Kluyveromyces lactis: one gene and its partner. The protein of the gene in region 1 interacts with the protein of each later gene in a pairwise test. Links are inferred from orthologs where the notes say so. Each region holds a gene or a part of one and is shown on either strand. Other genes may lie near its edges.

The links. The genes of interacting proteins can lie anywhere in the genome.
Region 2: the proteins of SLP1 (region 1) and EMP65 interact in binary tests that used the Saccharomyces cerevisiae proteins (3 or more experiments, as listed by UniProt). The link is inferred for Kluyveromyces lactis from reciprocal best matches to the Saccharomyces cerevisiae genes SLP1 and EMP65.

The regions. Positions count from the first base shown.
Region 1 is NC_006039.1:181,584-185,201, forward strand, and holds SLP1 (Slp1p), read left to right. Parts: upstream 1-1,391; coding exon 1,392-3,092; downstream 3,093-3,618. Other genes in the region: transcription initiation factor TFIID subunit TAF2, read left to right, coding at 1-1,103; KLLA0_C02233g (uncharacterized protein), read right to left, coding at 3,325-3,618. UniProt on the Saccharomyces cerevisiae protein: May be involved in membrane protein folding. Required for localization of MPS3 to the nuclear envelope.
Region 2 is NC_006042.1:1,171,632-1,174,910, reverse strand, and holds EMP65 (Emp65p), read left to right. Parts: upstream 1-1,104; coding exon 1,105-2,679; downstream 2,680-3,279. Other genes in the region: RRG1 (Rrg1p), read left to right, coding at 1-99; RNA polymerase II subunit B1 CTD phosphatase RTR1, read right to left, coding at 212-847; KLLA0_F12628g (NAD-dependent succinate-semialdehyde dehydrogenase), read left to right, coding at 3,001-3,279. UniProt on the Saccharomyces cerevisiae protein: May be involved in membrane protein folding.

The sequences.
Region 1 (3,618 bases):
AGTATATTGATGAAGTTATGAACGAAATCCAGAGATTTTACAATCTAGATCAATGGATGTCTTCTTATCAATTTTTGACCACTAAGACAATCCAAAAACAACGACTGAAATTGGCAGTACATGGTCTTTATCACTATGAAGATTACAATGAACTTCTAAGCTCAACCATGTTGGACCAACCAACAACTGACCATCCTGTAATCTGCCACGCAAGAGAAGGACTGCAAGACATTGCTTTACAGGCTCTCAAAATTTTGCTAGTTATAGGAGGGATCAAGAATAAGGAAGTTTTGAAGTATTATTTCGAAACGCTTTGTTTCCACCCTGATGTATATATAAGGACAAAGTTAGTTGATACCTTCGCTGGTGCAATTGATCTTATATCCTCTAAGAATAGCATATCTGAGATTGAAGACGATATTGATTACATGATGAACGAGATATGCCCCACTGACCCCACCACAGTAGCATCGATTGTTGTTGAAGATTTCACCAAAGAAGTTGCCCATAGAAGGGAAAAACAGTTGAGATCATCTATCAATGGTATGATAACGCTAACAAGACAAAAGTTCAAGGATTATGAACCTCTCAAAATGATAATGTGGGACGTGCTGCATTCCCCATTGATAAACGTATATCAACGGAAGAGGCTTTTCGATATAGCTAATGTGATATACCAACTGTACGATGCATACAACGTTATTTTGCCAGTCCCAAGGGATAAAAAGCTCGTTTGCAAGAATATCGGCAACAACACTGTAGTCATAAAACGTGAAGGAATACTCAAAGTTCATCTTGCACCACTGAAACCAGCAATTGTGGAACCAAAACATCCACCCACCACAATAAAAATTACAATACCGAAGAAGTCAACTTCCAAACCAAGTATGCCTGCTGTAGCAGCAAAAGCAAAAAAGAAGCCATCATCTGTTAAAGGTACTGTGACGAAAGTAGGGACGTTGCCCATCAGATTCCTCAAGATTTCCACTAAAACAAATTCGGTACATATTTCATCACTACCGCACAACCCTAACGTATCGATACTAAAATCAAATAGAAGAACCCTTTCTATAAAATTGAAAGTTCCGGCAAACAAAAAATGATTACATTAATGTAAGACATAATAAAATATTGTGAATTCTGCATGTACACCTTCGCTAACTTATATTTAACGTTTGGATTATTTGTGTCTATGTATGACGTATGCCGAAATAGTCAGAGTTTTTGAATATAATACCGGGTAACATAATCTTGTCTTTTTATTTGCAGTATGCAGTCAACTGTATCTTTATTCATTTTATTAAACCAACATTGGACGAACAACATACTCAGATGAGTTACACAAATGGAATAGCACCCTAGTTTAAGCTAGCAATGAACCAGTATAATACATGAGATATCTAGTATTTCTTTTGGTGCTATTTCTTGGGGTGAATTGTGAGGGAGATAGTGTACTATTTTCATCTGCAACTGATGTATTTGAAAGACCCAAACCGTTGAAAGTCACGACGGCTTTAGCTACGAAGAATTCAAACAAAAGCAGACCTTTACAAGTGTCTATGTCATCAACCATAAGGAATGTGCCTTTAGCTACTCAAGGCAAAGACAGTTCAGTCTTTAAATCTTTCAATGAGTGGAATAAAGAGAAACTGCGACAAAACAAATTAGCACAACAAGAGAGACCAAAACGTTCATTATTTCATAATAACAATAACGGTGATGTTATAAGAGACGAACTAGAAATGGACTTTGAGATTTTTAATGATGATGAGCCCGAAGGGAAAATCTACAAGGATAAATTTAACTATGCATCGGTTGATTGCGCAGCAACAATCATAAAAACGAATTCAGAAGCACAAGGAGCTGTCTCTATTCTTTTCGAAAACAAGGACAAATCACTTCTAAACCCATGCTCCGTTCCGAATAAGTTTTTTGTGGTTGAGTTATGTGAGGATATCTTAATTGAAAGCATTGTGATGGCTAACTTTGAGTTCTTTTCTAGTACGTTCAAAAATGTTAGATTCTCCGTGGCAGAACGATTCCCTGTACCAAAAAATGGCTGGAAGGTTCTTGGAGAATTTGAAGCTGAGAATATTCGTAATACTCAACAGTTTACAATTACGAACCCAATGATCTGGGCAAGATATTTGAGAGTTGAAGTTTTATCTCATTACGGAGAGGAGTTTTATTGCCCAATCACTCTCATTAGGGCTCATGGTATTGCAATGATTGATGAATTCAAAATGGAAGTCCAAAACGCAGGCGAGAAACTCGAAGAAGTGGTCTCAATTGAGCAAAAACTGGCGGAGGAAAAAGAAAAGTGCATGATACCAAGTTCATTCTTAACTAATAACATGTCAATAAACTTTGACCTAGACATCAACCATCAGTGTTTAGCATCCTTAAAGCACATGAATTTTGATGAATTTTTCACTGGTTATAAGGACAATGAAAATATCACTCAAGCAAAAGATTCATCTTCATTTATCCCGATAAATACCGAAGAATCAATCTTCAAGAATATTATGAAACGGCTTTCAGGTCTTGAAACTAACGGCACTATGTCTATTCTTTATATCGAGGAACAAAGCAAATTATTATCGAAATCCTTCGATAAATTAGAAGATTCATATAGTCAACAATTTGAAGCATTGGTTAAAGCATTCAACGAAACTATGACCTCGAATCTGGAGAACCTTAATCAATTCGCTTTGCAGCTTAGAGAAAGTTCAATTAAAATTATTGAAGAACAAAGATTGGCTACGGATAAATTTATCTCAACAACGACGAATAAAGTTGAGGAACTCGAAAATGCATATCAACACCAAGCTCGAGTTATGTATTTAATCCTTTTCGGTCTAATTTCGTCGATAATATATATTTCCCTGACTAGAGAATCCTATTTTGAAGAAGAAATGGTTGATGATGGTTGGTATACCGACAACTCTTCACTTCAAAAGCTCAAAAATAATATAAAAAGATCTGTGTCAGAAACAAAAGGCCATCCGTACACGGAAGCTGCTCATTACTCACCTATATCTTCCGACTCTGAATTTGAAGATGAGGACAGCATCGTAATACCTGCCAAATAATATGTTCTGTCTGTATTGTTCTATAGCTTTTATAGCATACCTATAATTCTGGAGAGATCTTTGATTTTAGAGTCAAATTGTTCTCAAAATGTGAATGCGCAGAACAGATGAGAGCAAAGATCTTAGTCATAGACAAATTCAAGGATATCATTTGTTAAAGGAGAACTGATTTAACCGTATATATTTTACACGTTTTCTATCGACTATTCAAAATTGTAAGGTAAGATATTCTTTAAATGTTCGGAGCAAAATCTGAAGATACACACTTTCGTAGTGGTGTCGGTAATCTGAGTGCTCGGGCATCTTTAGCCCTTGGAACGTCCACTAAATCTAATTCGTTATCTATAGATGATGCATCAGAAAGACTTCTTTTCGCTGAAAATACCGAAGCAGGGGTCCAAGGAGATGTTATTTCCGTAGACGACGCTGAACGGCTTGAGCCATGTAGTTCGTTATTTTTGAGAATCTCTTCCTTTAGTTCATCAGAACTCGGAAGTAAAACACTCTGATAAATTTTTAGCGGAAG
Region 2 (3,279 bases), on another chromosome or scaffold:
CCAACGACAAACCCATTTACCGAAGAGAAAAATTTAGGTGCTTTGCTTGTTAAATGGAGGTTCCTTAGACCAGATCAATTAGTGAAAGTTAAATCGTAAATAAAACTATTTTATGTATGACTATATAATGCAGGATTGTCCATATATTTTGAGTTATAGAGTCAAAATGCTCTACCTCAAATATGTTTGTACTTGTCATCATTCTGTCATTTCATCTATCTCGTCCTAAATCTCCAATGATATTTGGCTCGTTGATCTCTACGATCTTAATATCAGCTAACATGTCACTGATATCCCTTTCCATTTCCTCTCTACTATCATCGTCCGCGAGTTTCAAATCAGTCATACCACGAATCATCTGCTTAACATCAGACTCTCTAGCTAGTACTTCTTCGAGCAATTGTATCTCACTAGGTGGCTCATAATCGTCAAGATGTACACCGACCCTAGCAAACAAAGCCTCGTCTGAGAGCTGAAACTGGTAAAACTGTGAACATCTAAAATGAGCCTTAGTACAGTATTCTGTAAGGTATGCATATGGGTTATTTTGTCTTAAGAAATTGGTCATCTGTACATCTGCGAAGGGATCACGTACTCTCGCCTGGCTTTTGCTACAGAGTGGATATCCACAACGCTTCACCAAGTTCCTTTCTTGGACTAGATCCGCATAATCCTGTTTGGTAAGGAACCTTGAAATGTATTTCATCGTCCTTGCATCTTTCACGTCTTTTGTAATCAATAAGTCTATTAAATTGATACTTATAGTTTCCACTTCCCTTATGGTCAATTGTCGATGGTTTGTATAGGGTTTTAATACAACCTCTTTGATTTCTTCAATGGTAGCCATTGCTATAGTCTAATTATTTTGGTAAATTATTTCACGGTCGTAGTTGGTCAAGCAGCTGTATGAGGTCCCTTATTCATGTGCTTTTCTTAAGTTTACCTTCTTTACTTTGGCACTATCAACCCTTCGATGTGATTTAAGCAAGGACTTTATTTTAATTCAATGTAGATCGAATTCGAGCAGACAACAACAACAGAAGAAAGAAATATCCATGACGAAGTAAGGTCCTTAGCACTAACCGGTCAGTTGTGCCTCAACAAATGAGTTCACAGGATTCTGAAGCCCACCTCAAAAGGCGAAAGGCGAGGTCTAAGGAAAGCAGTTCTGGTGCTGGGAGAAGGGTATCGGTTGAACAAGACGTGAATACGGTGTCATCATCGATAAAGAACTTTATATACCAGGAGATTCTTCCCCAAACAGCCAAGGTATTCGAAGAGGAACCATGTGATCAGAGTGAGAAGTCTGTTGAATATGATCTGGAGCAGATTGCGAACATACTGAGGGTACCATTCCAAGTCGAGCAATTCTTTGTCTTTGCGATATTGACTTGTTTGAACTGCTTCTTGTATTACTTTACCATTATACCACTTAGGGTATTCCATGTATTAGTGGTGAAACGAGATGGTCCTAAAAGAATACGACAAGAGCTTCTTACTACTGCGATGATTCTTGGACCCTGTTCGATATTGAATGTCCTTGACACCTCAAGAATATATCATAAAATTAAGGGCCAAAATGCTATTAAACTATACATGATATTTCAGGTTCTTGAGATGACAGAAAAGCTCTTATCAAGTGTTGGCCTTGATCTATATTCAATTATCATGCTCAAGAAGAGTGCCAAACATAAGACAGAGATGGTAATGCTATATATTGCATGTTGTTTATGTTTAAGTTTCCACGCGTTGATATACATCTACCAGATTCTTGCCATGAACGTTGCGGTAAACTCGTATTCTAACTCCTTATGGACGCTACTGTTGTCAATGCAGTTTTCAGAGTTAAAATCTGCAGTTTTCAAGAGAATTGATAAAGAAGGATTGTTCCAATTGACTATGGCTGACGTCGTGGAAAGATTCCAGTTGATCGTATTTCTAACGGTCATTGCAGTGAGAAACTTTATCGTAGCAAGAAAGAGCTTGCGCGATGTTTTACCACACTCATGGAATGTTCATTCTACACAGTCCTTGATAGTTGGTATATTTATAGGGCCGATTGTCACAGTAATTGGAAGTGAATTGATAGTGGATTGGATCAAGCACGCATATATTATCAAATTCAACAGAATCAGAGCGCATATCTATGAAAGGTATTTGCAAATTCTTTCCAAGGACAACCTATCCAACAGTATCCAATTCCAAAAGAGGTTAGGTTTGCCGTTCCCGCCACTAATAGTAGCCTTCCTAGTACTGGTATGGCCTGCCATCAGGCAAACGATCAAGAATAATATCATCTGGTCCACTGTTCTGATAATATTTGGATTCCTATGGGCTCTACTCACAAAGCTAACACTTCAAGCAATACTGTTGAGATGGACGTTACATATCCAAAACAAACAAGCCAGCTTGCACCCAGATCCTTTGTATATCAATGGCCATCTCTCTGCTGGAAGAGGAATGATGGATGAGGATGCCCGCAAAATGACACACTCTAGCCAGACAAGAACTTATTCACCAACAATTACACCACCAGGATCGCCAAAACTCGCTGCTTTTGAAAAGAAGGCAAGCATCCCACCTAGCCTCAACGAGCAAAGAACCAAGAGAGATCTGAAGCATCCTAAATCGCTAGAGTCCGTTGAAAGATACAAGATGGTATCAAAGAGGATTTGGTAATATTTAGGTGCCTTAAGCAAAGGGCATAGCAAAATGTAGTGATTATACAGCAATATATAGACCGAGCATAGCAAGATTAAATAAGAATTATCAGAATTTGATGCATGCTGATGTTAACTTCGGCTCCGTCTCCTCTTTCCAACCTTAAATAGTGTATCATCTCTACACTACATAATGGATATTATATAACATTTAATATGACGCACTTTTTGCTATTAAGAGCAAGCATGAAGCAATAAGAGCAGAACTTTGTATATAAACGGCGATCCTAATGGCTAACAAATTGTCAAGTCGCTGAGTGTGTTATTTCCAAGAGTTAAGATGTTCCGCAACTCGAATACCCTAAGAACGCTAAACCTATTAAGAAAGATGTCTTCTAAAATTGAGAACGATTATTTGATACAAACCAAGGCCTTTATCAACGGTAAATGGACAGAAACTGACGACAAGTTTGCTGTAACCAATCCCTCCACCGGTGATACGATCCGTGAGGTTACGAACTGCGGTGTTTCAGATTTTAACAAGGCTATCGAAATTGCCCATGATGCATTCGGGACGTTCAGACAGACCAACGTCAGAGAGCGCGCGCAGATCTTGGAC